Linked DNA regions of Bombyx mori. The protein of the gene in region 1 purifies or fractionates together with the protein of each later gene. This does not show direct contact. Links are inferred from orthologs where the notes say so. Each region holds a gene or a part of one and is shown in the gene's direction. Other genes may lie near its edges.

Region 1 (11,453 bases):
ACCGATGACAATGCAATATTTAAAAAAAACTGGAAAAATTGAAATACAATAAAAAATGAAAAAAAAATTGTTTAAAAAACAAAAAAAAAACGTTTTTTATAGAAAATCCAACTAAAAAATAGAAAATTTTTTTAATAAATTTGAATTAAAAATAGGTAGTGTATGAAAAAAATATTACATTGTAAAAAAGCGTGGTACGCGTACTTTTTTTAGTCTTGGGTCATTAAACATCGACACTTACCCTCAATCTCTTACAATATGTTGCATTGATAGGATTGTAATAATCGCAGAACATGCTTTGTCCGTCTATGCGCGTCCTATGGCGACTGCCGAAAGACGCTTGCGCTTCGTATTTTATAAAACATTTCTCCATATGTTTGACGGCTGTCCTCGAGTGGATTTCGTGGCCGCACGTTATGCAGTACATTGAGGTTTCGTCGTCAGCGTCCTGTTGCGAAAATTATTTTATTAATAAAATTCTTGATAACAAAAATTAATTTTAATTACCAAAAAGTTACAATGAACATAAATTTCAATTTATTGTTTTTCATATTCAATACATTATCATAATTGAAAGGATAGTTAAAAGATTTAAAAGGCCAATGGTTTTTTTTTTAGGTGTTATAAATAGCAAAAGAATTTCAGACTTCACGATATTGTGGCATAGCAAACTTTACAAATTGCAACTTTTTTACTGCTACTGAATTTGAGATATTACGTCACTGTAGATTATATTAAAAAGTGATTAAAACAGAACACATGAGTCCCTTGCAGGTAAAGAAATATTCATACTTTTCAATGTTATTTCGGTCACACAAAGTTAATATTATTAGCCAATATTGTATTAGTTATTATTAAATGACAATATATTGAACATATTAGTATAAGTGAACAAATCCGTTTGAAAAGTATTGATGGAAGATTTAAAAAAAAAAACATATAAATGTATATACAAAATAAAGTATCAGGACGAAGACAATTTAAGTATTTATGTTTTAAAGTACACCTTCAAAATGAGGCTGTCAACGCAAAAGTGGCTTAACCCACAATTCATATTCATGCTTATGTATTGTGATTTATTTAAAACATAATAAATTTTGATGCAAAAGTTAGTTTCAATCCATAGATAACAGATGACTTTGTAAACATTATTTTATCACGTTTTTTTTTGGCTACGAAGTATTGTAAAGGTAAATTCGAACCTCATTATCTCCATACTAACTATGGTAAGCTTAGGCCACTTTTGTGCTGACGTCCTCAAATAACACTTTTTTTTCTTCTAAAATCCATTGAAAAGCCACTAAATTTCTATTTTAAATAACAATTTTGTACCTTATCATCCGTATGAAGAATTGTAGCGTTTTTAGCTTTGGCGAGCAGTGCGTCCAGATCTGTGTGCTGTTTGTCGAGACTCCGCAGCGCGGCCTGCGCTTTAGCGATCCCGCTGCGTACCACTTCTAGTGCCTTGCGGTTCTTCTGTTCGGCAACGCAGCTCGACAACGACCATTCTTGTATTCGTTGTGGGAGCACCTGAATTAGCATTATATTGAATCAATTGACACCAGGCATTCCTCATATAACTATGAAATATAGATTTGTCATTTAGGTGCTGTTCCAATACTAGCGACCGTCTTTAGCTATTAGGCAGTAATCAAACCAGCCAGGAATAGAAAGTTTTGAAAAAAAAAGGAAAAAATTCTCACATGTCTGCGAAATACAAATGAAAATAAAAAAAACAAACTTGGTATATCCGGGAAGTGGCGAGCCTTATCCCGCACTGTGAGGAGCAGTACTTCGAGGAGTACCGAGCGGGCAACGTGCACTGCGGTCCGTAGCACTGACGCGCATGCGCCGTCTGTAGATGCGCCAACGATTCTTCTGGCTCATACGGTTCACGTTCATGATGCTTCTTCTTTATTCTGCTACTGCTGTTGTCAATTTCATTTACAATTTCAAAATCCGTCAGTTAACTCCAATACTTTTATTTCTACTTATTGCTCATACATCAGTAGAAGCTCTGAGTAGTTCCATTGAAGTATGTCAGATGGCAAGAGTATTGTTTCAACAGAATATGACATAAGGTTGTTATATTATGTTTGTAGCTTAGTTACAGCAAAGCAGAGCCCTTTTAACAGTTATATGCGGAATCAATAATATTACATTTTTAAAATCTAGCAATGCTTACCTGGGTGGTTTAGAAGATTTTTTACTTTTAACACAAACTCTCAATTTGCACCTGAACTTTTTATTAGCACTTCCATATTTGAACATCTCCTCACATGCATCACAACTGCAATGAAAACCATTATAGTGATCATACATTTCTGTACGACAAAAGAACAATGGGAAAATGTTTGGAAACAATACTGTTATGAAATGAAACAAAAGATTGTATCTGTTTATTGTATATGTAAATTTTCTTGAATTAAATCTAAATATTTACTTTAAATGAACAATGTTTGGGTACAATTCAGTTAACTTAAAGTGTAACAAAAGAAATCCAAATTTTTGATCAATATTTATATCTTTTAATATCAATTTGTAAAAGTTAGAAATTTATATTGATTAAAGCACTTTTTCATGTAGAAAAATGAGTAATCACTATATATACACTATATATACATACTTTGCATTAATTCATTTCTTCAAAATTACTATTTAAAAAATTACAAAGTGAATGTCTGTCTATGATCTATTGATAGCAATAGCATCTTTTTGTAGTGCTGTTGGTAGATACTGCAGTAAAAATCCGATAAATGGGGCATGAGGTATACTCACTGGCCACAATCGTAATCTTGTAAGCAACCAGGGCAATCTCCACAACCATCTTTTATTATAGTTCTCTTGGAAGATTTATTTTCCGAATGATCCTTTTCTTTCCGCTGCTTTTTTCGATCATCTCGACCTACAAAAGAAACACGGTACAATAACAAAAACGTTTTATGTTAACTTTTATTTTTTAATGGCTTTCGGTTTCTAGTTTTATTCAACCAATATGTGAGTCACGGTTCAAATTGATTGAGAGATAAAAATCAATCATACTTCATACATCTATTTTAAGGTAATGCAATGCTAGGATTTAAATTTTATTATGCAGTCCTATCATACAATACTAATAAATGTAGCAGTATAGAAAAAACTAGACAAAAAAAATATTTATACCAGAATCAACCTCGTTTTCTCTTTTTTGTGGTCTGAACCTTGTCTTCAAAGTCGGATCTTCCTCTCTACATCGGTCACAGAAGTAATTCTTGATGTACTTTGATTCTCTCTCAGAAATGTTGATACAATCACCATGATACCATTCCTCGCATGCATCACATGCTCTGAAAAAAAAAAACTTTTTTACTGTATACCTAAAAGGTTTTAAATAATAGTTAAATATCAGCAGAATATATTTCAACTACTGAGTTACATCAATGTGGCCAATTGAACAACCACTGTCTCATTGTCACAGCATACAAGATTCAGTATGATTTTCAGTCATCAAATTTCCTTTATTTACCTTTTACTTACTTTTTGTAATACTGTAACTGTGATAAATTTTAAGACATATCTTAAATGAATTGGTGTTGTGTCATTCTTAGTTGTGAACTCAACATCAAATCTGTATATATTAATTAGAATACATTTAAAAAAATGTTTTGTTTCCAAATACAATTTCAACCAATTACAATAAAAAAGTTGAAATCATAAATGCCCAATCTTAGAAATCTTAGAATTTAACAAATCTAGAATATTCTAATGATAATTATCATCTAAATTGTGTACTGTCATAATGAAGTGTGATCCAAATAATGACCACATCCAATGTAATGATCAAATTTTTCATAAGTAAATATGATATTATAAACGTGAGCTTCGATTTGAAATAGTTTAAATTGTACTTATTTTGTATTTGTTATATTTATTATATGTGAATATAAAATTAGATTTGTCAGAATAAATATAAAATATTCAAAATATATAAGCCAATAGTGTAAGCTGTTCTATCACTTTTAACAATGTGTTTGATTTATGCTAATCAATGATGTTGATGTCTATCCATTTAATAATAAAAAGATACATGTCGAAATTCATTCAAATACACATCATCTTACCAACATCTTGCTAATGAAGTTGTATTAACGCAATGGTGAGTGTAGTGTTGTCTAATACACTGCAGCATTGTATAAAATCAAATATATTAGGAAAAACTTACATCATAAATCGCGAACTATCCGAAGATCGACAAATGCAGTACGCTTGTCCAGCTTGATTCAGCAATGTTGTAATTTTGGATTGGCGTTCAGGCAAGTCGAACTGCTTAGCAATGTCCGCTTTCTGGAGCAAAAAGATATTATTTACTAGATACATTTGATTTCTATAGGATTTACATTTCACTAACACTTACAGATTGTCTCGACTTTTTATCACCCATTGTATTCCCTTTATTTCAAAACCGATTCAATGACACTAACAACTGCTAGCACCCAAGGAAGTTTTTATTTTTTATTTAACAAATTTTATTCTTTTTTCAAATAAATAACTTCATTCATTCTTTAGACTCGTAATTTTTTTTTCAATTTTCTTTTCATTTCCTCATATTTTTAGAAAGTTATTGAAATATAAAGTTTGGCCACAATTTTCCAAGCTATAAAATTGTCGTTTGACACATGGGATAATCAAAGTTGAGAATTTGATTGAATGGTCTGTTCCAAAGACAAAAAGGGCCCATAATGCCAAGTCTATTGTAACAAAAAATCGAACTGAAGGACGGAAAGTGATTTAAAAAAGAAGAAAGATTTTTCAGAGGTTTTAATCAGGTTAAAATTTGAAATGATAATTCAAGTATTAACCTTTTAGTGTCTCTAAAACTTATGAAGGGTAGAAAGAAGTAAGGAGCACCATCTTGAGTAGGGGAGAAGCTGAAAAATGTTAGAAGATTACTGGTGGTAGTACGTCTTATGAGTCCGAACGGGTAGGTACCACCATCCTGCCTATTTTTGCCGTGAAATAGTAATGCGTTTCGGTTTGAAGGGTGGGGCAGCTGCTGTATTGTTCCTTACAACTCATGTCTCGAGGTGGGTGGCGGCATTTACGTTGTAGATCTACGGGCTGCCGTTACCACTTAACGCCAAGTGGACTGTGAGTTAGTCCCCCATCAAGGCTTTATAAAAAAGAATAACTAAATTAGCGCTAGTCTAGGAAATGGAAATGATAGGAACATGGGAGGCTTAAGCAGAGTGAAGTGTGCTGGGTTGAAAATTTAATATTTTTTGAGACTTGCGTAAAATATTATATGGACTTTTTGGCGGGAACGCAAGAAGTGAAATTGTGTGATTTGTTTTATTTTGTCTATTTAGTGTTTCTTCAGGTTTAAATGTGTAATAACGGTGGTTTATTAACAGTTTAATATATGTGAAAGTGGACAAATCTGGGAAAATGAAACAAAGCCGCTGGACGTAACTTCTCGGGATCCTCCAACAAGTCCGCTGAAAAAATCTCAGTAAATGAATGACCACCACCATTTTACTGATATTTCATCCCACATCATCTCATTTCAATTCATTTAATTTCATCCCAGTTGATTAATGTCTCAAATTACCTAATCATCTTCATTCACTCCATAATATTTATAATTTTTCATAAAAATAAGAATACTAATTAAAATAAGACATGACCTAAAAGTCTTAGTTACCAAGTCATAAAATCTTTTAAAAAAAGCAATATTATGTGGCCTATGATGCTGTTGCCTAGCAACCAAAAACCAATGCTGTCTGTCACGTTTGTTTTCGCTAAAGATTCGCATAAACCTTTGAATATTTCTTTTATATCTATTTTTAAGTCATGGAAGAATTGAATACCCCCCAAATAATTACCCATATTGAAAATAACTTAAACCATTCACTATTTGATTGCAAGTGGATACCATGTTCGGCTAAATTTATAGTACTTGGTTCTTTACCGAAAGGCTCGGGTACCATTGAAATATTTGAAATAAACGCCGGAGAAATTAAGAAAATAAAAGAAATTGAGAGGTCTAACTCGTTTAAATGTGGAACGTTTGGAGCAAGTAGCGACATTGAGAGACGATTTGCTACTGGAGACTTTAGAGGCACTTTGGAAGTATGGTTTGTAACAAAATCATAAAATCCATACTTTTTCCGGATAATCATAAAAATCGAATGTTAATAAATAATTTATTTTCTATAGGGACTTAGAAAAAGGTTCCCAAGTGTACATAACAAAAGAACATTCAGATATAATTAACTCAATAGATGGGATGGGAGGTAACACAACCAACTGTGGAGCTCCTGAAATTGTAACTGGCAGTAGAGATGGTAAGGTTTCATGCCAAGGATTATCCTGTTACATTAAAGGGTACTCGTGTGGTGATGAGTAGATTTTCTAAATCAATATTACAATACCTTCTAAGATTTGACTACCATTAGCCATGTTGACATACTGGGATAGTTTTTTTTTTATCCTCATCAGATTTTGATTTTGTCCAAAATATTTACAAATTTTATACACAAACCTTTCTCACACTTCTATTTATATCTTTGAAAATAGTATCAAAATTTGTTAAGTCATTTAGAATAAGTAATCAGAGAAACAGACATTGGGTTTAAAACTCTTTAGGAAAAATAAAAATGGTAGTGATAACATAATAATTACTGAAATTATAGGAACAGTAAAGGTTTGGGATCCAAGGCAAAGAGGTAAACCTGTTGCAAACATGCAACCAATGCAAGGTGAGACTAGAAGGGATTGCTGGGCTGTTGGCTTCGGAAACTCATTTAATGATTCTGAAAGGATTGTAGTTGCTGGTTATGACAATGGAGATCTTAAAATGTTTGATTTGAGAACAATGTCACTTAGGTGGGAATGTAATTTGAAGAATGGAGTAAGTATGTAATTTCAAGACTAAATTTAAGATTTTTATGTCACAACTCGCAATAGGCATATTATACAACATGCATGATAAAAAGTTGTTACTGAAACCTGTTAACATCAGTAAATACAGGGTCATTACTAGTTGTATAGTAGCAGTAGTTATTCACTTTAATCTTGTCCTAAGAAAGATGTGTTATATTTTTCAAAAAGTCACAGTAGTGGGGGAGGGAGTTCATTTTAATTTTAATGTGAGTAATTATTTAAGAAAACATCAACACAATTGAAGTAAATAAATTCAGTTAATCTCGAAATTTTTATCATTATCTCAACTGGTACTCTGATGAACAATGACTTGTTATTATCTGTGTGTGTTTTAATTCTTTGTAGTTTATGATATATCCTAAATTAGCTTGATAGGTTGTTTTGCAATAGAGATATATATTTATATAACTGGTGGTAGGACCTCATGTGAGTCCGCACAGGTAGGTACCACTACCCCGCCTATTTCTGACGTGAAGCAGTAATGCGTTTCGGCTTGAAGGGTGGGGCAGCCGTTGTAACTATACAGAGACCTTAGAACTTATATCTCAAGGTGGGTGGCGCATTTGCATTATAAATGTCTATGGGCTCCAGTAACCACTTAACACCAGGTGGCCTGTGAGCTCATCCACCCACGTAAGCAATAAAAAAAAAAATATATATATATATATATATTAAATTATATCTAAGTCAAAATTAATAGATAAATATTGAAGAATTTTTGTTTGTTTAGGTATGTTCCTTAGAATTCGATCGTAAAGATATTCCAATGAATAAATTAGTGGCAACCACACTTGAAGGGAAGTTTCATGTTTTTGATGTGAGGACTCAAAATCCAACTAAAGGATTTGCTCAGGTAACCTAATGTTTTACTGACCAGCAAGGAATGTCTTTGAGAAATAAATATGAAGATTGCATGCAATGCAGAGCATTGTTAAATTTGAATTTTCCTACCCCTGCCTTATCTATTTTTACCACCATTAAATCACATGTTCTGGTGTATACTATAGTACAGCTGTTGTTCCAATTTCTTTGAAAGTTTATCTACTCTATGTATTTGGCAGAATTCTTCACATTGCAGTGTCTGTTATCTCAGCAATAGATGGGCTGTATCTCTATTCATCAGAATCCATGGACCTTAATATATTAAAAGCACAATCTATAGTTACATCAGTTAATTTAAAAGTCGTCGTGGCCTAAAGGATAAGACGTCCGGTGCATTCGTATCGAGCGATGCACCGGTGTTCGAATCTCGCAGGCGGGTACCAATTTTTCTAATGAAATACGTACTCAACAAATGTTCACGATTGACTTCCACGGTGAAGGAATAACATCGTGCTATAAAAATCAAACCCGCAAAATTATAATTTGCGTAATTACTGGTGGTAGGACCTCTTGTGAGTCCGCACGGGTAGGTACCACCGCCCCGCCTATTTCTGCCGTGAAGCAGTAATGCGTTTCGGTTTGAAGGGTGGGGCAGCCGTTGTGACTAATACTGAGACCTTAGAACTATATCTCAAGGTGTGTGGCGCATTTACGTTGTAGATGTCTATGGGCTCCAGTAACCACTTAACACCAGGTGGGCTGTGAGCTCGTCCACACATCTAAGCAATAAAAAAAAAAAAAAAAAAAAAAAAAAAATAATTACCGTTCTTCCATAATATTCATGAAACAATGCTGCTCTTAATAAACTAAATTTATTAAACTAAAAGCCATACGTTTTGATTTTGAGTGATTAATTAATGTTATAGGTTAATTTTTAAAAATATATCTATCTCAATATATCTGTGTCCAGGTGGTGGATAATTCAACGAAGAGCGGTACGATATGGATTGCGCGACACATCCCTCAGAACCGTGACTTGTTTATGACGTGTGCTGGTAATGGGCAAGTCACATTGTGGAAATAGTAAGACTTTGATTTTGCCTTATGATCAGTTCAAAGTAGGACTTCCCGGTCATTGTTGCATCGGGCATCTACTACTGTAGGTTCATAGTTATAGTATAAAAATTATATCAGAAGCTTTCGTGTAGAAGTTTACTATAACTAAACATATATTCAATTGCATTGTACAAACACCGCGCAGAAGTATAGAAGATAAGCATTTTTTTATAGAAACTCAGGAAAAAGCAACACACGGTCATCTGTGTGCTTAGTGCGAGCTTTGTAACGTTCTCGATAGTGTAAAAGTTAACGCTACTTTGTATGGACTTGGAACGTCTGCCTACGTTTGCCGCTAGGGGCGCTGTTCCAACTAATTTAAGTTAACTTTTACGCTATCGAGAACGTTAAAAAACTCGCACTAAACACATTGGTCCCAAACATTCCTTGTTCTATGGCTACCAGATATACATACTTATTTAAATAGGTACTTCATAGATGTTAACCATCATTAAAGAGGAAACAAATCTGTTCATCATACAAATGTGTGTCCGACTCTGAGTCAATTAGCGATATATTAAATAAAGCGAAGAATAGATGGCCGGTAGTATGCCAGTAATTTCAACAAATCAGAGAGACGTATTCAACCAATAATTTCTCGCCGGATCTTCTCAGTCGCGTTTTCGATCCGGTGGTAGATTCTGCGAAGCACTGCTTTTGCTCATAGTGTTAGCAACGCCCCCAGGTTTGAGCCCCGTGAGCTCACCTACTTGTTAGGTTATGCTGACATAGCCTCCTAAGGTTATCAGCTTAGGTAGGAAAAAAAGAAAAGAGACGCATTATAACTGTTTAGCCGGCTTAGCGATATGTTTTGTAGCAAAGCAAGGTAGAGCTTCTACCTCTCTTTATTTTTGGCGTGGGTTACAATACACAATTCGTTTGTTACAGTGAATACCCGGTACAGAGGTTCCGGGTGGACACCGAGGGTGTAGCTATCGGAGTTCCGGGGAAGCTGAAACGTCTCCAACGCATGGTGGTGAGCTCGCAGCCGATCAACGCTCTGGAATGGAATAAAGACCACTTGGGCCTCGCCGTCGCCACCGCATACGATCAATGTATTCGAGTTCTGATCACCACTAAGTTGAATCTGCAGTGATTTGCTTTAGAAAGGCCGTTTTATTTGAACAAAGAAACGCGATTATTTTTGGCGTGTGGTCGGCAAACAGAGTCAGTAAACAGAGCTGGGCTGGCCAAGACCGGCCCCAGAACCCACACTGACTACAACACAGATGCCGTTAGCTTACAACACCCGAAGACAGTTCACGTTTCGATGGTTTTGGAATTCATTATTGTTTTTGCATTATGGGGTGAACGAACGGTTCGCCTATTGTTACGGGAGCCCATACACATGGCACCTTGAGACATGAGGTCGATGTCTCAGAAGCTTTGTATTACTACTGTCTCACTCTTCTAACTGGAACAGATATCTGTTCATGTTGTGGATGTAAGTAATTTAGTGTGGAACTCTTGATCTGATCAGACAATGTATTTAATATGTGCTGTGAGTATATTAAGTTGCTTAAGTTGTAATTTCATATGTTAATAGTAAATAATGATACTTTAGTTTTATTGTTTCTTTTTACGTTATTAAATTTTTTTAGTTATTACGTTTTTTACTGATGATAGGACCTCTTGTGAGCCCGCAGTGGTAGGTATGCCTATTTCTACTGTAAAGCAGTAATGCGTCTCGGTTTGAAGGGTGGGGTAGCCGTTGTGGCATACTGAGACCTTAGAACTCATCTAAAGGTGGGTGGCGGCATTTACGTTGTAGATGTCTATGGGCTCCGGTAACTACTTAACACCAGATGGGCCGTGAGCTCGTCCACCCATCTAAGCAATAAAAAATAAAATTATTGCGCATTAGGTATTCACTTGTGGCTTGTTATCGCATTTGAGATTGAGCACGAATAAAATTTTCAAGATCAATGTGAGGCTGGAAGAGTTTAAGACTGGCATCCCGTTAAAACATGAATTTCCTTTGTTGTTGTCTGCATCTGTGCAAATATTAATGGTTCTCCTTCGAATCGTCTTCATAACTGAAATATTCTCGAAAGTTAATTCAGAGCACAGCCCTCTATGGGTGACTTGTGCTTGAAGACTGGCGTAGGTTGGCCCTCAAAAGTTGGACAAACGACTTGTTGAAGGTCGTGCAAATCTTCTGGTTACGGGCGACACAGGACAAGTCATTGTGGCGGAGGACCTTGGCCCATGTTCAGCACTCATGTCCTTTTTTTTCCTACCTATGCTGATAGCCTTGAGAGGCTATTTCAGCTTCGCCTTGACGTGTAGGTGAGCTCACGGGTCATAAACTGGGAATATTGCTAACACTTGCCCTAGCAAGTGCAGTGCTTCGCAGAATCTACCACCGGATCGGAAACTCGACCCACTGAGAAGATCCGGCGAGAAACTCAGTGGGCTGTGTCTATGGGTTCGGCGCGGACGGTGACCGGGCACTGATGTGATGATGTCTATAGGCCGATGGGATTGAGATGGTCTTGATTTTTTACAAAAGTACCGCACTTTTTTACAAAAGAGATCAGGTCTAATAACGTGCGGGTAACGGTATATTGCGGTAGTAATTGTCACAAAAAATG
Region 2 (10,590 bases), on another chromosome or scaffold:
CTTTAATAAAAGGGTAGTAATAATTTAACACATTTTTGGAGGTAGTAAGTACCACACTAACTAGTGGTATCTCTTATTTTGAGCATGCTATCATTATGTCTTGTAACTATAAATAATACTATGTCTAATAATAATGTAATGTAGTAATAATAATGTAATGTAGTAATAATAATGTAATGTAGTAACAATAATGTAACTATAACACAGTAAATCACCATGCTTTCTGATTATAAAGATATTCTGGTACATTTGACGCATGTACATTCTGGTACATTTGAGACTATGACTTGATAGATGACCTATGTGGAGGGTGCAGTGAGGGTTTGAGGTTTATGCAGATCATAAAACTCACACACTCGTAACCACTTAACATTCAATCAACTATTTCCGCTTTGTGAGCAATAAACTAAATTTTCGATATGATTGGATAGAATTATTGAGTTCAGTTCTGTATTTGCCATTACAGTATTGAGCAGACACCTTTAAAGTTTTATTTCTCAGTTTAATTAATTGAAAATCATTCTAGACTCCGTAAAACGGACAACAACCGTCTAGCGCGGGCGTGTGGAGCAACAATTGTCAACCGTACTGAGGAACTCAAGGAATCCGATGTCGGCACTGGAGCTGGACTGTTTGAGATCAAGAAGATCGGAGATGAATATTTCACTTTTGTCACTGAATGCAAGAACCCCAAGGTACTAAATTAATTATATTTAAATCACTAATCTGCTCACATTCTGCTGTGATTATCATTACTTGTATGTAAGACATAGATTTCTTGAAACTATTCACTTACCACCTGTCATGTCTTGGTACTGTAAAATAATTATTCCCTGAAGTACCAGCTACAGCTACCAAGTCTCAAAACAATTGAAGAAGTGCATTAAGAATGTATGGAAGAAAAACACACAAACACTTAAATAGTAGATGTTATTACTACTTCATCTTTTTTTTTAAAATAAACTCACTATTAAACAGTGTTTAATATGTTTGGCGATTCTTAATGCATCAAACATGATAACAGTGAGTGTTAAATTGTCTGGTTAAATAATAAAGGACGATGACAACATTGATGTTGATGTCTGTGGGTTGCAATCCCTTAACATGAGACGAGAGCTCGTTCACCTATCTAAACAATAAAAAAGAGCATCAATGACCTACTGAGGACAGTGCAGCGTAAATTACCTTGATTAATAGTATTGTTGTTGTTGTCCTAGGATACCCCGCTAGTACATAGGGCTCTCACAAGTTGTCTCCACTTTACCCTGTCTTGCGCTTGCTCCTTGACCTGGAGTGATTAATAGTATACCTAACAATAATTTCATAGTATTACAATAATAGTTTAACGATATGCATTTTCTCCTCTCAACTATTAAAATGAATATAGAAAATGAGTAAAATAAAATGGAATAATAATCTAAAAATACATTTTGAAGGCATGCACAATATTACTCCGTGGTGCTTCTAAGGATGTCCTGAATGAGATTGAAAGGAATCTTCAAGACGCTTTACACGTCGCCAAGAATTTGGTAAGTGTATTGACACATTATCTATCTACTGTATATGAATTTGCATTTTTTTTTCGAATCGTATATTCGATTAAGAAATCATTGGTTTAAAAAAAATACAATCTTTCTTATTTTATATAATTATATAAAGTCATTGTATGATTAAAAAAAGAGAGAACTAAGACATTTGGTAATTCCAATAAATGTCCACATTTAAAAGTATGATTGATTTTCAAAATGTAATACAAAACAAATATAAGTGTTAATTTATTATTTTAAATGCCCATTCTGTCCTAATGATTTTAAACAGAACTCATACTAGAGATACGTTATTAGTTAGTACTTAGGGTAAATATAATTATTTTGTGTACTTAAAATGAAGTTGTTTAATATTGTTATTCATTTTCTTACTATTGCAGAATTAATATCTATACATATAAATAAAATTGGAGTGTCTGTTTGTAATATTGAAATAGCCTCTTTTTACTACATACATATGAATATATATACGGTACATATACCAAAATAACATTTTTTACAATTTTTGTCTGTCTGTCTGACTGTTCCGGCTAATCTTTGGAACGACTGGACTGATATTGACGGGACTTTCACGGATAGGTAGCTGATGATATAAGGAGTAACTTAGGCTACTTTTTTTAGACTAGCTCCGCCCCGCGGCCTCACCCGCAGTTATTGTCGTACCGCGCCAAACATGGCGGGACTCGCCTATCAATAATAAAATTTAATGTTTCCGAAGCGAAGCGAGGGCGGGTCGCTAGTTATAATTAAAAAGGTTGTTTATTTTACCTTTTTTTTTACAGAATTTTTTGAAGTGGTAGAATTAAATTGCCCATATTATGATATCGATATATCCATCATGTACAAATACATAATGATGGTATTGAAATTGATTATAATATAATGTTGTGCGTGCAGGTGGTGTCGCCGCGGCTGGTGGCGGGGGGCGGCGCCGCGGAGATGGCCGTGTCCAGCGCGCTGTCGCACCGCGCCGCGCACAACACGCCCTACAGGGCCGTCGCCACCGCGCTCGGTACTAGCACCCCGCTGTATACCTATGCTTAGCTAATAATATATAGTACAGTACACTGTGAACGTGTCCATAACAACGTATGCGCTATGAAAGAAGCTTCAAGCGGCCTACGCACGACCCTAAAATCAGTGGCGATATCGGGACGGCAGTGGTGGGGATAATCGTCGTGAGCTCGCCCCAGCGATTTTTAGAGTTTATGGTAAACAATAAAAATCGGGTTACGATTTGATTATACACGAGGTGATTTAGGGTCTTCCCCACCACTGTCCCGATATCGCAACCGACGTTACGAAACATATTATACGACATACGATTTAAGGATCAAATTCAAATGACAAGCTATTATTCACTGGGCTGAAGCGGTGCCGTTGCAGTGCTTGCATAGTGTGCCATGACCCTTACTCAAACCTTTAAAGGCGGAAGATCCTCAAAACAACTGGCATATACAGATCTAATCAATCTGCTTAGTTTGATCCTCGCATATTCTGCCAATATCATGGCCGATTTTTATGAACTTCATTACGATCAGTGAATGATAAAATTATATTTACATTTTTGTATTGTAGATAATGCGAACACAACAATAATTCTGATTTTTTTCAATACTAGAAGTAAATAGGAAAAATTTAAGTTTAATATTTAGAATATGAATCTCTAGAGATTTTAATACTTGCAGGCTGCACTGCGCTCAGAACGTTACGTAATGCCAGAGTTCCGCGTGCTTAGTGCGAGTTTCTTAACGTTCTCGATGGCGTAAAAGTTAACCCAATTTTGTATGCAGTTGGAACAGCGCCCCTAGCGGCAAACGTACGCAAACGATTTCATACAAACATGAGTTAACTTTTACGCTATCGAGAACGTTAAAAAATTCGCACTGAAGGCGGTTGGCACATAAAACTTGAACTGACCATTAGAATTTGTATTTTATTTTTATTTTTTAAGGGATTTTATGACTTGGTAACTAAGACCTTTAAGTCATATCTTATTTTAATTTATATTCATAATTGTATGAAAAATGATAATATGGAGTGAAATGAAATGAAATAAAATTAAGATGATTAATTTGAGATCAACTGGGATGAAATGAAATGAAATGAGATGAGATGATATGGGATGAAATATAATCTCAGTAAAATGATGGTCGTTTACTGACATTTTTTCCAGTGGACTTTTTGGAGGATCCCGAGAAGTTATGTCCAGCGGCTTTGTTACATTTTCCCACATTTGTGCACTTTCACAGATATTAAACAGTTAATAAACCACCGTTATTACACATTTAAACCTGAAGAAACACTAAATAGACAAAATAAAACAAATCACACAACTTCACTACTCGCGTTCCCGCCAAAAAGTCTCTCGAATTTGTATAATTGTGTTGCAGAGATAATACCGCGCACGCTGGCGCAGAACTGCGGCGCCAACACCATCCGCACGCTCACGGCGCTGCGGGCGCGCCACGCCGCCGGACTCGCCTCCGCCGGCATCGACGGCGAGACCGGCGAGATCGTCGACATGGCCGTCAAGGGGATCTGGGAGCCGCTCGCCGTTAAACTGCAGGTCCGTAGACCACACCATCCTGCATCTATGCACTGTAGCCTTCCCGGCTAGGTACCGCGGTTCTGCCTACTTCTGCCGCGAATCAGTTTTGAGTACCAGTTTGAAGGCTGAAGCGGTCGTTTTACAATACAATTGAAACTTAACTTTAGATCTTAATAGCTTTATCATCAAGACGTCAATAGGGATCAAAATTATTTAAGTTGTATGCAATAGACGCCATATTCAATGAGACAGACAAAATATATAACTAAAATGAATACATATAATGACTTACAATAAACAAAAAACGCCAACGCTTCATAACAATTACTATAGTGTATATCAAAATAACAAATAGGTCGCCAGGTTTTTCTCCCATTTTTATCGCAGACGAAGCCTATACGGATCTCCTAAGAGCTTTTTTTTTACCTACCTACCTGAGAGCCTTGAAAGGCTATTTCAGCGTAACCTTAACTAGTAGGTGAGCTCACGGGGCTCAAACCTGACGACGATGCTAACGCGAACCCTAGCAAGAGCCGTGCTTCGCAGAATCTACCGCCGGATCGGAAACGCGACCCACTGAGAAGATCCGGCGAGAAACTCAGTGGGCTGTGTCTGAGGGTTAATTTACTCGTCAAGCCCTTCGTCGCAAGCAACTGGTTCGACGAGAACGGTGACCGGTGACCTCCTAAGAGCGAGTGATCACCGTTCCTTATTAAAATGACAAATGCCATGCCGTTGCCTAACACTTCCTTAATTTGTTCGTTTGTTTCATGAGCGGCGCTCTGATACAATTAGCCTCCGAATACACGATGAATACGACGAATCTTTTATGCTATTAAAAAATGAAACATTAAGATATAACATTAAAATGAAATTCGTACTGCAGGTGTACAAAACAGCCGTCGAAACAGCGATCCTGCTGTTGAGGATCGACGACATCGTGTCGGGCTCCAAGAAGAACAAGAACAACGAGCCCGCGGCGCCGGCCGAGATGGCCGCACAAGAAAACTAACTTACATAATATTATTAGCATTTAAGCTCGCTTTTGGGACTAATCTTGACCGTAGTTCAGCAGATGTCATTCAAATTACACGGTCTTGGGCAGTCTGTTCTAACTCTTCCCACGTCATACCCAAGACCCCTAGCTCCTGCTCCACCGAGCAACGCCAAGTTGCTCTGGGGCGGCCTCTCTTCCTTTTTCCAGACACTTTCCAGGTCAGTGCTCTCTTTGATTTATAGATTTGGAGAGAACTTAACGGTAGAAAGCGGCCTGGTTCTGCTCCTGGCATTGCTGAAGTCCATGGGCTCTCCTCTGCCTACAAGGGCCATAAAAAATATCTTTTTCTTACCCTTATCCCAATATCCAAATATATTATGTCTTTTGAATATCAATTTGATTTTTTTAGTTTAAACCGACCAAATTGTGAGTTAAATTGTCAGTCAGGATAATTAGTTTGTCATCGGTGTTGTTTTTTTTTCATTAATTCAAGGTTCACAGGAATTCAATAAAATATTTTTAATGTTACTTTCAGTTCTAAGTTCAGTAATGTGAAAACCGATATGAATTGTTATATTTCGATCAGTTAATATTTGATTTATGAGTTTAGCAAATATCATGTTCAAAAATTACTTAGTCTTGTTTTGACGGATTGAGTGTGCACTGCTGAAATACGTTAAATTTTGACACTGGCAACATTTCATCGACAGTTCAGCCGAGAATTTCAAGTTATGTCCCAAAGGATTTAGAATTTCTATCGCTAGCTAACTATTTGTTTAATAATCTTAACTACGGGAAGTGAGACCGATCACAAATGCTTGTCTTATATTTTTGTCTTATAATTACAATGTCTTATTTATGATAATGTATTTTGAAAAAGTTGTCTTTTTTTTTTCGGATTATAGTTTAGTTTTGTCTGGCGCTGACTAGTGTTAGTGTCGTCAGCACCGTGAGCATTTTATTTTCTTGGAATCTTAATATGTAACAAAAGTATTAAACATTTTATAAACTAAAAATTTGTTTTATTTATGAACCCTTGAATCGATAGGCAGCAACTTTGCTCTGTTGCCGAAATTGTAAATGTCTTTTTGTTTACCACTTCTAATTTCCCAAATTTGTGGTAGGGGTAAATTCACATTGATAGGAACAACAATCCTATGATTTGATTGAGTGTTTTAGTAAGTGGGGTAGACACCCAGTGGTGGATTTACACTAGGGGCAGTCGGGGCAAGTGCCCAGGGTGGCAAAATTTTGAAAATAAAAATATATTTTTTAGTCTGATATTGCTCAATATAATCAATTTATTAATAATTTTCTGTTTATAAATAATTTTCTGTTTAATTGATAATTCAACAAATTCAGTTCATTCATTATTTGTGAATTATAATTTTGGCACTTTTGGAAAAAATAATAATCAAAATGATTTAATCAATTTATTTTCTTGGAAATTTAAAATAACTAATGTTCCCGCATTAGTCGAGATTCGACTATAATTAATTGAAATTATATGTTTCAACAGACTACACTATAGACAAATACTCGTAATATTAAAGATAAACAATATTAGCCTATTCTCAATTTGACTGCAGACTTTATAATAACAAAAGTTTGACAATAAACTAAGAGTATATGTTACTGTGTCAAAGACATGGTAGTGTAATGTTTTCTTTATTGGTTTAATGTATCTTGCATTATTTCAAAAAGTTAGCATTGTGAACTTCTCTATATTCTCTATATGTGGAAAATTTCATACTCCTCCATCCGCGCATTTTTTGTAAAAAGGGATACAGTTTTTGCTTCACGTATTAATGAATAGATAATAGATTTTTCTATTTTCTGTAATTTAAGAAATTTAATTAGTTTTTTATGTAAAATTATTAATTATGACCCACCCTTAGTGCCAAATTTATAATTGTTTGAAAAAAAAAAAAACAAATATTTATTTATGTTTTTGGAATATATAACATAAGTTTCTGCAATAAAGTAGTTATTGTTATTTTGAAAATTAAAATATACTTAATTTATACTACAACTTTAGGTAAAATTCCAGTATTGGGGCGGATTTTTTTCCGGTCCCCAGGAGCGACATTAAGTTTAAATCCGGCTCTGTAGACACCATTGGAGTAAAGACGATTTCCACTTTGTGTTTTAAGAACGATGGCGACATTCCCGATGCGATGTCTAGGGCCCTGTGACCCCTTATGCAAACGCAAATGCAAAAAAAAGCAAATGTTTTCCAAAAATGAGTTGCACATGAAATTAATTGAAAAAAATTAAAAGTTTTCATAAAGACAATAACTCAATCTCAATCATCAATCAGTTTTTCAATCATCAGTCATGAAAAGTAAACTTTAAACTAGTCGATTCGTATTTTATCACACAAGCGTTGGTCTGTTGACCAAAATTCAATAAGTCGCTGACAATTCAAGTTTTAGATTCATTTTATGTACCTATTACATATTTTCTTTATTGTTTAGATGGGTGGACGAGCTCACAGCCCACCTGGTGTTAAGTGGTTACTGGAGCCCATAGACATCTACTACGTACATGCGCCACCCACTTTGGGATATAAGTTCAGTCTCAGGTCTCAGTATAGTTACAACGGCTGCCCCGACCTTCAAACCGAAACGCATTACTGCTTCACGGCAGAAATAGGCAGGGCGGTGGTACCTACCCGTGCGGACTCAAGGGGTCTCATCAGTACCAGTTTCGCTGTTGTTTTTTTAATTGACAATTTAGATAAAAAAAATACAATTTCCAAATTTTTTGGTGACAACATTAAACAAAATAAGTAAATGTGTTGACTAATAGAGAAAATCTTCGACGGGAGAAATGTCGCAACTGCATTTTAGCCTAAATCACTTTTTACCATATTATATTTTAAATATGATTCTGGTGTAAAGTTGAGTTTTTTAAGTTTCTTTCATCGTTGTGTTAATTTTGTCCTTACTTATTTTAAAATTTATCTAAAGCTTTGCTGTATTATTTATCTCTCTTATCGTATTATTATCAGAATTAGTTATGGTGTAAATGTGGGAACTAATTAAAACAAGGCAAACATTAATTAACAGGAAAGGATGGTCTGTGAGCGCGGCTCGCGATGGGGCGACACGCATCGAGGCTGTATTGTCCAAAACAGATAATCCAAAAATGCTGTTATTCGGACATGTTTCCATTGTCTACGCGATATCGCAGCTCCGAGAATCGCCATATAATTTGGGCTGTTATAGGTACAACAGGCGAAAGATTGATTTAGGCAAAAAAATCAATAGGTTAGTGTATTATTTTATTATTTATTAGTTACATTTATTAGGGGATACGAGTACACGATCTTGGCCATCTACAGCTAGAATGCAATTTAATTCGTGTGTAGTGGTAACATCATCCAAATTAACCATCCTAAAGGAGCTGCCTTTGAACTGTTAGGCGTTCTTCGGAAGCGCTCGGTAAGTAGTTAGCAACATACCCCATCCTTATCACTGAGTTCGTCAGCTTCAGGTCCGAGTTCAGGTGTACTGTGCATCGGCAATGGTGGGTATCACCGTCCTATAGGTAACTAAATAGAATTCCTTACGTTCCAGTGTGAACGTACTGAATTGCTTTCGATTACAAATTTCGTTTTTAGTGTCACTGTGTGCTTAGTGCGAGTTTCTTAACGTTCTCGATAGCGTAAAATTAAGCCAATTTTGTATGCAGCTGGAATAATGCCCCTAGCGGCAAACGTACGCAAACGATCCCATTCAATGCAAGAGTTAACTTTTACGCTATCGAGAACGTTAACAAACTCGCACTAAGCACACCTTCGATCAATAATTATTGATCGAAGAAGCACACTGATCAAATCCTTATTTATAAATGTGCATTGTAGTACCTAAAATATTCGCACAACTTTTTTAAAAGAGCACGTTTATTTATGATGATTTCTATCATTCGCCAGCGGCATTAAGGAAATTGGTACTGAAAATTTAGAAGAGTTTCATGTACTACGACACCGTTCAACCCAAAAACTTTCAGTTTCTTATTAGTGCATTTGTTATACCACAAAAGTAGAAAAACGTATGTATCACTTGTGCATTACCTACGATACGTGAACTTTCACTAAATACAATGGAAACACGAATCAATTGTGTTGACAAACAATAAGTTCACAACGCGTGACGAGTGATTGACTGGGTGCCCTGGCTAAGTCGATTTGGTGTTTTACAACATTGCGGAAGGCATCTCTGAGCAGACGGGTATAGGAATATGCAAAAGTAAGTGATAACAAATTATTTGCAAATGTTAGCTTTATCTATGATGTCATAGATTAAATTATAAATGTTGAAAAATAAAAACATATTATATTTAATTTAATTATGGGATTTTTCGCGCTAAAATTCATTTTTATTATAAATTAAATAGATAACGGTAAATTGCACTATATGGCCTCTACGAATTATTGTACTTATTGTGTCAGTGATTCATTGAATTTTTTATATTATTGTAATAATGTTATATAGTTTATTGTGGGTGTATTTCATATCGCCTCTTCCAAGAGCGCCATTGAAATCATTTTGGATCTATCTGTTAACACTGTAAATCGAAGAATACAAAGGCTAAGAGCAAAAATATTTTATTTCGTGCACATCTCTGGTACGTGCTCATTTTACGCCTTTGGTCTAGAGTACTGGTGAGTGTCCCTGACACACTGTGCCCGAGTTTGATATCCGGTCGAAGCCAGTATTTTCGTTCAAGTTACTTGGTGATCGGAATCTGGATGTGCTTGCCCTTGTCTCTCTGTCATCGATCGCAGAGGAGTAAAATCTCAACTAAATTAGGAAGTATATTACTTTAATTAGAACTACTCTTACCTACTACTTAATCTCGTGTTTACTATTTTTGATGTCCCGACAAATTAATAATTTTTTTTTGCGATTTTGCTCATAATATGTGCTCAGCTTAGTAATTTATTAAAGTAAAATGTCTTAAAAAACCTACCTAAGAATATTGTGGCTTAATTCATGAAAAAAATTAGCATCATCTGTTATATCCGTTCGCCTTTCCCTTCTTTTCTATTAATTTTTTGTCAACTTTGTTTTTTGACACAAATTACACATACAGACTCCCCTCAAAATACTTACAAGATTGATAACTTATCAGTTCTGATACATAAACCCGTACTCGTTGTTAAAAATGTGAGAGTTTTCGGTTATTTTCACATGATTTACTTTGCATTTGCGTATGAATAAAAGGTACATAATTTCCTAAATGTTTATTGTATTTCACAACACGGTGAACTCTACATTATAGCCATCAGTGTTGCCAGATGAATGAGACCCAAAAATGCTATGAACGATATGTATATGCGAATATACAATCATATTATTATATATTGATGAATTATGAGTAATGAATTATGATGTGAACCAATGTATTGATATAAGTTTTCATAATTCGTCTAAAAGTGAAATTCTATGAAATAGGTACCGTGTCATAGAGCGATAGGTGTAAATCCT
Region 3 (11,186 bases), on another chromosome or scaffold:
GGCCCCCCTTTTTTTAATTTTCGGATTTTTTTAATTTTTAATTATTTGTTCGTCGTTTGATCGTTAATGTTCGAATGTAAAAATTGTTTGTTCGTCTTTTGCTTATTTATAATTAATTAAATAAATGATCACCGTTAAGTGGGCCCCTCTTACTAGATATCTTTATTTTTATCGATTAATTCATTTTAATTCATTTTGATCAATTATCGTTTGTTCGATGACTATTGGTGATTGTTCGATCATAAAAATAATTAAATTCCCAATTATTAATTATTTTATATTAATGTAATACCGAAATACTTCACGAGATGGCGTTACAAAAAATCCCTTCCCAAAACTATAAAACCGTTGTGATTGTCTACTGAATAAATAATATTTATTCGTATAATAAATAGTATAATAAATAATATTTATTCGTAGGTGATTGTTTAAGATGTTATGAATATTTCAGTTTTGATTTCATCAAAATAACTTGAACTTTACTACTGAATTCCGAAAAAAATTCTAATTAAGGCTGAGTTAAGTTCAGCTTTTTATTTAAGCCTCTTACTGTAGTTTTTAAATTACATTTATGCGGATTGACGTTTCAAAGCTTTCAGATTTCAATTTTAAAATCTGAAATAATTAAGAACAGCGTCATCCACCGTTCACATTTGAAACAGAATTTAATTCGGTTTAAATTTGTAAAAGTTGATGTTGATTATTATTACACTAATTAATTGAGCGTTTCATTAGCTTTTAAGCTGAGTGACTATTTATAATATATTTTTATTCTATTGTCTATTTTTGTTAAGTAATAAATGAGCAAAAAATAATACTTAACAAAAAGATATGAAATCCGAAAAAAAACAGTTTCACTGTAAAAAATTGCGCCAAGTCCACGTTTATAAAACTCATCTCAATAACATTTGCACTTTACAAAAAAAATAAGACTTCAATAACTTTCATTCTCTACAAAAAGATGTGAAATACAAAAAATACCAAGAAACCATCATAATGTTGAAAAAAAAAAAATTAAAAAAAAAAATTATCGTACTTGGCGCACGTCATTGAGTACCCCAAATTTTCAGGATAAATGAACATCCTTTCAATGTTTAGAAATTTGTAAGTCGGTCAACCTATGAAATGCATAAATGTAATGAATTATTATTTCATAATAAGTTTTACAGAAGCTAGGTAAAATCGACATCTCATACGTATGTTATTCGAATTTTTTTAATTTCCCGCTCATCATTTATGATTTGAACTAAACACCCTCTTATGTTCGCTTATACAAACTACTTACGAGTCGATACGTATGCATACGTTGGCTTCAAAAAATTTGAAAAATTCTCAAAAATGTTTTTCAATGGGTAGAAAAGAATAATAAAGTTTCAGCTGAATGAATCTAAAGGGGTCGAACGCAAAAGTGGTCGATTTGGCATATAGCCCATATACATATTTGTAATTATTAATACGAGTATTGTATGCGGGAAGTTCAATATGAATTTAGTGATATTCAAATTATATGCATTTCGAACATCTCCTAAAGGATATATGTACAAAAACCGACAATCGGCAGAATCTAACGAGAAGCTTGTTGTTCAAGGTAAGGTCGTCGATAAAATACCTCGTGGACGAAGCTCCATATGCTGGACTGATCAAGTGATAATCCTTACTAAAGCCTCACTTAACAAGTGCTTTTTTTTTCCTATCTAAGCTGATAGTCTTGAGAGACCACTTCAGCGTAACTTTAACAAGTAGGTGAGCTCACGGGGCTCAAACCGGTGTGATGCTAACACAAACCCTAGCAAGATCTACCACCGAATCTAGTTATTACCGAATTTGAAACGCTGAGAAGACTGAGAAGATCCGGCGAGAAACTAACTCAACGGGTTATTTTTTTTATTGCTTAGTTGGATGGACGATCTCTCACAGCCTACCTGGTGTTAAGTGGTTACTGGAGCTCATTGACATATATAACGTAAGAGCGCCACCCTCCTTGAGATATAAGTTCTAAGGTCTCAAGTATAGTTACAACGGCTGCCCCACCCTTCAAGCCGAAACGCATTACTGCTTCACGGCAGAAATAGGCAGGTTTTTAAGTCGTTTTCGTTGCAAACTCGCACTAAGCACACAGGACGGCGGTATCTATCCGTGCGAGCTCACAGAGCCCTCCACCGTTAGTAATTACGTAAATTATATTTTTTGCGAATTTCGTTTAAGTAACACGATATTCCTTCATAATCAAAGTCATTCGTGAGCATGTTCTAAGTAAACCTGGTGGTAGGACCTCTTGTGAGTCCGCGCGGGTGGGTACCACCACCCTGCCTATTTCTGCCGTGAAGCAGTAATGCGTTTCGGTTTGAAGGGTGGGGCAGCCGTTGTAACTATACTTGAGACCTTAGAACTTGTATCTCAAGGTGGGTGGCGCATTTACGTTGTGGATGTCTATGGGCTCCAGTAACCACTTAACACCAGGTGGGCTGTGAGCTCGTCCACCCATCTAAGCAATAAAAAAAAAAAAAAAAAAAATACAGGTTCGACCTATACGTCCAAAAAAAAATTTAGGTCTCTCGTGTCGTGGGGTATCCGAATCACCCCCATGTATGTTCCGCGATTTTTGATAGTTTTCGAGTTATGATATATGTTACCTTTATGCGGGATTTACATTACGAAATTAGTTTCATGCATGTTGAGCTCAGTTTCACGAAAGTAGTTTCGATATATGCGAAAGTAATTTCGTCAAAAAATTAGTGTCGCGAAATCCACAGTATCGCAGTAACCATGGCGCCAACAGCATCAAAGCTATATTCTGTGCTATATGCTATATTCAATGTAGCTAAAGAAATGCTTATATACCTATAAACTTAAAAAAAGACTATCAAGAAAAAAAGTTATTAGATTCGAGGATGATCAACAAGAAGGCATTCAGGTGCAATGAAGTTAGTCTCTGAATTAGCAGATGAAGATCCTGAGAGCTATAAAAACTATTATCGAATGAGTGAATATAATTTTGCTTTTTTACTGTAGGTGTTTCGGGTCCCAGAGACACCCTTGTCGCTGATATTCTATCGCTGATATTTTTATCTGTACTCCATCGTTGGTTTGCCATTTTCAACGCTTGAAGCGCGTCCGAACTAACAATACACACGTCCGCACAGCGCAGGCCCTTTCGCGACATTAGTTTCACGTCGCGTCTACACTATTAGTTGCATGATTTCACCAAAAAATCGCGTAGGGCACGAAACTAATTTCCATGCATGAAATTAATGCATGCATTACGAAAGTATTAAATTACACGTGAAACTGTTGGTAAAACTAATGTCACGAAATTAATTTCACGCCACTAATTTCGTAATGTAAATCGCCTTTATGATTTTTTACCTTTATTTTTATGATTTAGTACCAGCGGCTAGCTCCGGCCGCTAGCTCCGGCCGCTAGCTCCGGCCGCTAGCTCCGGCCGCTAGCTCCGGCCGCTAGCTCCGGCCGCTAGCTCCGGCCGCTAGCTCCGGCCGCTAGCTCCGGCCGCTAGCTCCAGCCGCTTGCACCAGCCACTTGCCCCAACCGCTAGCACCAGCCGCTAGCTCCAGCAACTAGCACCAGCCGCTAGCTCCAGCAACAAGCCCCAGCCGTTAGCGCCAGCATTTAGTACCAGCCGCTTGCACCAGCCGCTTGCGCCAGCCGCTAGCTCCAGCCGCTATCACATGTTGCTAGCACCAGCCACTTGCACCAGCCGCTAGCACCAGCAGCCATTACTGCTTCACGGCAGGGTAGCCAAAAAGTCCGACAGACACTTTGTGTCTGAGCGGGAACGCGAGGAGTGAAGTTGTGTATTTTATGATTGCCCTGTTTCCGGATTCTCTTTCTTTGATTAAATCGCTTTGAAGCTCCCTGCGTTTTTTTAGTATATCTTGGGGGAAATCTTCTTTTATGTAAACCGGTGATGATATCAGTTTTTTCTTATTTTTAAGTAATTTTATTTTTAACCCCATAGTGCTCAATGTTACTACAATGGGTCTCGTGTTTTCCCCTCTTTTTCCAACTCGCCTTACAAATTCAACACTGTTTTCATTGCATTCAATGCTTAAATATTTGTTTATAATTTCTAGCACAATTTGCAACAGATCCTGATATGACCTTTCACCTTCTTCGACTCCGAAAAAGAGCAGATTTCTCTTTCTCTTCAATCTCTCCATGTTATCTGTTTTTTCTGCCGAATTAGAATTAATTGTTGTTCAAGTAACTCGGTCTTTAATTCAAGACTGTGAAATTTTTCATTCATATTATTTATAATGGTATTTTTTATTTCCTCCTTCATATCTAACATATCCGCTTTTTGTTGTTTCATCTCTTCTTGCATGCTTCTTAATATATTTTTAATTTCTTCCATTACTTTTATACCTCAAAGTACTACTAATACAATCTTGTGGATAGTATTGGAACTACGTTGCTTATAGCAGATGTTATCTCCAGTTTATCGAGTTTTATCTTGAGAGTTCAGCTACTCACGCTAGGTGGCGCTAACGTTTTTGTACGAGGTGATTTGTGTGACGATGCGAATAATATTTATTTTAGGTTAAATGCAAAAAATAAATTAAATAGAATCCTTGTGTTCACTATTTAACAATTTAACGATTTTAATGATTATTTATGTCCCCTTCACTGCACTTAACGAGTTTTAGATCATTTACACTTAGAGTAATGGATATAAATGTCAGTTGCGCGTTCCTTGATATTTTTATAGATTTTGTATTGTTTACGCACTCTTTCAATAAGAAAACATTTGTTCCTGTGGTTCTTAGTATTGTTCCTTTATTTATCACTACTTTATCACACTTTAACCACTACTACTATTTATTACTTAGTTAAAAAGCAGACGTTGAAGTGAACGGTGGCACAGTCCGCGAACTACCCTCCAGTCGTTCATAATAAAATTTAAACAATAACATTTAGTACGCATCGTTTCTTCGTTTACTGCGCATCTCTCGTAATCGTGTTACTTTCGTACTACTAGTGGCTGGTGCAAGCGGCTGGTGCAAGCGGCTGGAGCTAGCGGCTGGTGCAAGCGGCTGGTGCAAGCGGCTGGTGCAAGCGGCTGGTGCAAGCGGCTGGTGCAAGCGGCTGGTGCAGGCGGCTGGAGCTAGCCGCTGGTACTAAATCATAAAAATAAAGGTAAAAAATCATAAAGGCGAATTTACATTACGAAATTAGTGGCATGAAATTAAATTGGCATTTGATAAATGAGAGTGAGAGCAACATGTTACATAATTACTATTGTAATAAACCAAATGTACTCGTTTAAACATCACTTACTTTTAACTTCCACAGGTATATGCCACACATGCGGGGCTGGTGTAACTGGTGCTGGGCAAGCTTGTCAAGCTATGGGCAATCTGTACCACACTAATCTTGGGACTATCCCATCTACAAACAGATTACTTTAAAATTAAAGACTAAAAACAACGACATTTAGGTTTTTATTGTTTATGTACGGACTGGACAATATTTAATTTTACTTAATGTTTTGTGTCGAAGACCTGAAACCGAAGACTTGAGATGATAGGAGAGGTGGAACCCGTAAAATTGTAGTTTGCGTAGTGGCGGATAAGATTTGTTGCGGTAAGAAGTTTGCATGGTGGTAAAATGTCTTGTGAGTCTGCACAGGTAGCCGGAGGTGAGACTTCCGCGGTCGCGGCCCACCCAGTCCGCGAGAACCGGGCAGATCGCCTCGACGGTACGGAGGCCGGCCGACGGGTCCGCCAAACGACGAGACCACGCCTCCAGCACGGACTGCCGAGATTGGAGCCCCCGCGCTCCGGCTGCACTTGCGCTAGGGCGCGCCGCCTCGTAGGAGACTGTGAGGTATCCTCGAATAACTCTGACTGCGATCGCGCGCTGCCGGCGTCGCAGCGCGGCGACGTTCTCGTGGGTACGGACGTGGCACTAGACGGGTGCTCTATGGAGTGCCATCGACCGCACGGGTACCATCACCCTGCCTATTTCTGCCGTGAAGCAGTGGTGTATTTCGGTTTGAAGGGTGGGGCAGCGGTTGTAACTATACTGAGACCTTAGAACTTCTATCTCAAGGTGTGTGGTGCGTTTGCGCTGTGGATGTCTAAGGGTTCCAGTAGCCACTTAACACAAGGTGGGCTGTGAGCTCGTCCACACATTAAATCGAAGAGCGTAATCAAACGAAATTAGATACGAAGTTTAAAAGGCCGTTTAAAGTAGTTGAAGTATTGGATGGTGACCGTTACACATTGAAAGCTTTAAATTCAAAACTTACTTACAAATACCCACATGATAGGCTAAGAAAATTGCCAGCATGACACATACCAGTCGAAGTTGATGTAAATGATGATGATGAAGAGCAAGCTTAAATTGTGGTGAAAACTCGAGTAAGGAGTTTCTTGGTATTTTTTTGTATTTCACATCTTTTTGTAGAGAATGAAAGTTATTGAAGTCTTATTTTTTTTGTAAAGTGCAAATGTTATTGAGATGAGTTTTATAAACGTGGACTTGGCGCAATTTTTTACAGTGAAACTGTTTTTGTTCGGATTTCATATCTTTTAGTTAAGTATTATTTTTTGCTCATTTATTACTTAACAAAAATAGACAATAGAATAAAAATATATTACTAGTATATAGTCACTCAGCTTAAAAGCTAATGAAACGCTCAATTAATTAGTGTAATAATAATCAACATCAACTTTTACAAATTTAAACCGAATTAAATTCTGTTTCAAATGTGAACGGTGGATGACGCTGTTCTTAATTATTTCAGATTTTAAAATTGAAATCTGAAAGCTTTGAAACGTCAATCTGCATAAATGTAATTCAAAAACTACAGTAAGAGGCTTAAATAAAAAGCTAAATTTAACTCAGCCTTAATTAAAATTTTTTTCGGAATTTAGTAGTAAAGTTCAAGTTATTTTGATGAAATCAAAACTGAAATATTCATAACATCTTAAACAATCACCTACGAATAAATATTATTTATTATATTATCTATTCAGTAGACAATCACAACGGTTTTATAGTTTTGGGAAGGGATTTTTTGTAACGCCATCTCGTGAAGTATTTCGGTATTACATTAATATAAAATAATTAATAATTGGGAATTTAATTATTTTTATGATCGAACAATCACCAATAGTCATCGAACAAACGATAATTGATCAAAATGAATTAAAATGAATTAATCGATAAAAATAAAGATATCTAGTAAGAGGGGCCCACTTAACGGTGATCATTTATTTAATTAATTATAAATAAACAAAAGACGAACAAACAATTTTTACATTCGAGCATTAACGAACAAACGACGAACAAATAATTAAAAATAAAAAAAATCCGAAAATAAAAAAAGGGGGCCAAATTTACAGAGCCATAACCTACTAACTTAAATATTAAGTGTATGATCTATACCTACGGCACACTGAATTTGGCCCCTCTTTTTTTGATTTTCAAATTTTTTTATTTTTAATTATTTGTCCGTTGTTTGTTCGTTAATGTTCATATGTAAAAAATCTTTGTTCGTCTTTTATTTATTTATAATTAATTAAACAAATGATCACATTAAGTTGGCTCCTTTTACTAGATATCTTTATTTTTATCACTCAGATTAATTAATTTTGATCAATTATCGTTTGTTTGACGACTATTGGTGATTGTTCGATCATAAAAACAATTGAATTCTCAATTATTAATTATTTTATATCTAATAAGCAAACCATCACCTCACGCCAACAAATATAAAAAAATCCAAAATAAAAAAGGGGGCTAAATTCACTGAGCCATTAAGCACATAATATTTGCATGTGTTTAATCTATGATATTTGCTACCATAGATAATAGAGCCTAGGAAAGGCGACGACGACGCATTTGCTTTAATATTTTCCAATTGAAAATACAGAAAGGCCATTAATAGCCTACAGTATATTTTTTAAATACAACACTCGCTTTAGCGAAGATGTATGATACAGAAGATGATCAATACGAAGAGGAAGATGTGGAAATAACACCTGAGCTTTGGCAAGAAGCTTGTTGGATTGTCATCAACGCTTATTTCGATGAAAAAGGTCTAGTGAGACAGCAATTAGATAGCTTCGATGAATTTATTCAAATGTCGGTACAACGTATAGTTGAAGATTCTCCACCCATAGAATTACAAGCAGAAGCACAACATTTCTCTGGTGAGATGGAAACACCACCAAAATATCGTCTTAAATTTGACCAAATTTATTTATCTAAACCTACTCATTGGGAGAAAGATGGAGCTCCATCTCCCATGATGCCCAATGAAGCACGTCTTCGTAATTTAACATATTCGGCACCTTTATATGTTGATATTACAAAAACAATAGAGAAAGAACATGAGGATCCTATTGAAACGCAACATCAGAAAACATTTATTGGCAAGATTCCTATTATGCTTAGATCTACATATTGCTTACTAAACAGTTTGACTGACCGTGACTTGTCAGAATTGAATGAATGCCCCTTAGATCCTGGTGGTTACTTCATTATTAATGGATCAGAAAAAGTACTAATTGCACAGGAAAAAATGGCTACCAATACTGTCTATGTATTCAGCATGAAGGATGGCAAATATGCTTACAAAACAGAAATAAGATCATGTCTGGAACATAGTTCTAGACCGACATCTACATTATGGGTTAATATGATGGCTCGAGGAGGACAAAATATAAAGAAATCTGCTATTGGTCAAAGAATTATGGCAATTGTCCCATATATCAAACAAGACATACCTATAATGATTGTATTCAGAGCTTTAGGTTTTGTTGCTGATAGAGATATATTGGAACACATTATATATGATTTTGATGATCCAGAAATGATGGAAATGGTTAAGCCATCTCTTGATGAGGCTTTTGTCATTCAAGAACAAAATGTAGCACTCAATTTTATTGGAAGCCGAGGAGCACGCCCAGGTGTCACCAAAGAAAGACGTATTAAATATGCTAGAGAAATCTTACAAAAGGAAATGTTGCCACATGTTGGAGTATCAGATTTTTGTGAAACAAAAAAAGCTTATTTTCTAGGCTACATGGTACACAGATTATTATTAGCTGCTTTGGGTCGAAGAGAACTGGATGATAGAGATCATTATGGCAACAAAAGATTAGATTTAGCAGGACCACTTTTGGCTTTTCTATTTAGAGGCTTATTCAAAAATTTACTAAAAGAAGTCCGAATGTATGCTCAAAAATTTATTGATAGAGGAAAAGATTTCAACTTGGAACTTGCTATCAAAACAAAAATCATCACTGATGGTCTTCGTTATTCTTTGGCAACTGGTAATTGGGGTGACCAAAAGAAAGCTCATCAGGCCCGAGCTGGAGTATCTCAAGTGTTGAACAGATTAACTTTTGCATCTACTTTATCCCATTTAAGACGTGTCAATTCTCCAATTGGACGTGATGGTAAACTTGCTAAACCACGTCAATTGCACAATACTTTATGGGGTATGATTTGTCCTGCTGAAACTCCAGAGGGAGCTGCTGTTGGCTTAGTGAAGAATTTAGCATTAATGGCTTATATCTCAGTAGGAAGTCAACCTTCACCAATTTTGGAGTTCTTGGAAGAATGGTCAATGGAAAACTTGGAAGAAATTGCACCATCAGCTATAGCTGATGCCACAAAGATATTTGTGAATGGTTGTTGGGTAGGAATACACAGGGACCCTGAACAGTTGATGGCTACACTACGTAAACTAAGACGTCATATGGACATCATTGTCTCTGAAGTCAGTATGATTAGAGATATAAGAGACAGAGAAATCAGAATCTATACAGATGCAGGTAGAATTTGTAGGCCATTACTTATTGTCAATAATGGTGTCTTATTGTTGAAAAAGAAGCACATAGATGATTTAAAAGAAAAGGACTACAATAACTATGGTTGGCAAAATTTGGTGGCTAGTGGAGTAGTTGAATATATTGATACTTTGGAAGAAGAAACTGTGATGATTGCCATGAGTTTAGATGACTTGAATCAAGTTAAAGAATATGCATATTGTACTACTTATACACATTGTGAGATTCATCCTGCAATGATTCTGGGTGTCTGTGCGTCTATTATTCCATTCCCAGATCATAATCAAAGTCCCAGAAATACTTATCAAAGTGCTATGGGTAAACAAGCTATGGGAGTTTATATCACAAATTTCCATGTTAGAATGGATACACTGGCTCATGTTTTGTATTATCCTCACAAACCCCTGGTTACGACAAGATCTATGGAATACTTACGATTTAGAGAATTGCCAGCAGGAATTAACTCCATTGTTGCTATTCTTTGTTATACCGGATATAACCAAGAAGATAGTGTTATTTTGAATGCATCTGCTGTAGAGAGAGGATTCTTTAGATCCGTATTTTACCGTTCATACAAAGATTCTGAATCTAAAAGAAATGGAGAACAAGAAGAACAGTTTGAAAAACCAACCAGACAGACATGTCAGGGTATGAGGAATGCTCTGTATGACAAATTAGATGATGATGGTATTATTGCTCCTGGTATTAGAGTATCAGGTGATGATGTTGTCATAGGAAAAACTATAACTTTGCCAGAAAATGATGATGAGTTGGAAGGTACAACAAAACGATTTACAAAGCGAGATGCATCCACTTTCTTACGTAATAGTGAAACTGGAATTGTTGACCAAGTAATGTTAACATTAAATAGCGAAGGTTATAAATTTTGTAAAATTCGAGTCAGATCTGTACGCATCCCGCAAATTGGAGATAAGTTTGCTTCACGACATGGTCAAAAAGGAACATGTGGAATTCAATACAGGCAAGAAGATATGCCATTTACTTGCGAAGGTATAACACCAGATATCATTATTAATCCTCACGCTATCCCTTCACGTATGACAATTGGTCACTTGATTGAGTGTATTCAAGGGAAAGTATCTTCTAATAAGGGAGAGATCGGTGATGCAACCCCATTCAATGATGCTGTAAATGTGCAAAAAATATCATCTCTGTTACAAGATTATGGTTACCATCTACGTGGTAATGAAGTCATGTACAATGGGCATACAGGCCGTAAAATTAATGCGCAAGTTTTTTTGGGACCAACTTACTACCAACGTTTAAAGCACATGGTCGATGATAAAATTCATTCTAGAGCTAGAGGTCCAGTACAAATTCTAGTGAGACAGCCTATGGAAGGT

The links.
Region 2: the proteins of dynein axonemal assembly factor 10 (region 1) and T-complex protein 1 subunit gamma purify together in Homo sapiens (affinity purification with mass spectrometry; 3 studies listed by BioGRID and IntAct, counting the BioPlex papers as one, with this or other methods). This does not show direct contact. The link is inferred for Bombyx mori from reciprocal best matches to the Homo sapiens genes DNAAF10 and CCT3.
Region 3: the proteins of dynein axonemal assembly factor 10 (region 1) and DNA-directed RNA polymerase II subunit RPB2 purify together in Homo sapiens (affinity purification with mass spectrometry; 3 studies listed by BioGRID and IntAct, with this or other methods). This does not show direct contact. The link is inferred for Bombyx mori from reciprocal best matches to the Homo sapiens genes DNAAF10 and POLR2B.

What each region holds. Positions count from the first base shown.
Region 1 is NC_085131.1:9,116,406-9,127,858, reverse strand, and holds dynein axonemal assembly factor 10, read left to right. Parts: upstream 1-5,727; 5' UTR 5,728-5,829; coding exon 5,830-6,113; intron 6,114-6,195; coding exon 6,196-6,323; intron 6,324-6,671; coding exon 6,672-6,889; intron 6,890-7,651; coding exon 7,652-7,774; intron 7,775-8,713; coding exon 8,714-8,826; intron 8,827-9,747; coding exon 9,748-9,955; 3' UTR 9,956-10,463; downstream 10,464-11,453. Other genes in the region: CXXC-type zinc finger protein 1, read right to left, coding at 242-448, 1,333-1,530, 1,742-1,928, 2,186-2,290, 2,779-2,905, 3,163-3,326, 4,202-4,323, 4,394-4,420. UniProt on the Homo sapiens protein: Key assembly factor specifically required for the stability of axonemal dynein heavy chains in cytoplasm.
Region 2 is NC_085127.1:10,941,733-10,952,322, reverse strand, and holds the end of T-complex protein 1 subunit gamma, read left to right. Parts: intron 1-526; coding exon 527-695; intron 696-1,436; coding exon 1,437-1,529; intron 1,530-2,444; coding exon 2,445-2,559; intron 2,560-3,940; coding exon 3,941-4,116; intron 4,117-4,984; coding exon 4,985-5,110; 3' UTR 5,111-6,111; downstream 6,112-10,590. UniProt on the Homo sapiens protein: Component of the chaperonin-containing T-complex (TRiC), a molecular chaperone complex that assists the folding of actin, tubulin and other proteins upon ATP hydrolysis.
Region 3 is NC_085110.1:13,223,468-13,234,653, forward strand, and holds the start of DNA-directed RNA polymerase II subunit RPB2, read left to right. Parts: upstream 1-7,815; 5' UTR 7,816-7,955; coding exon 7,956-11,186. UniProt on the Homo sapiens protein: Catalytic core component of RNA polymerase II (Pol II), a DNA-dependent RNA polymerase which synthesizes mRNA precursors and many functional non-coding RNAs using the four ribonucleoside triphosphates as substrates.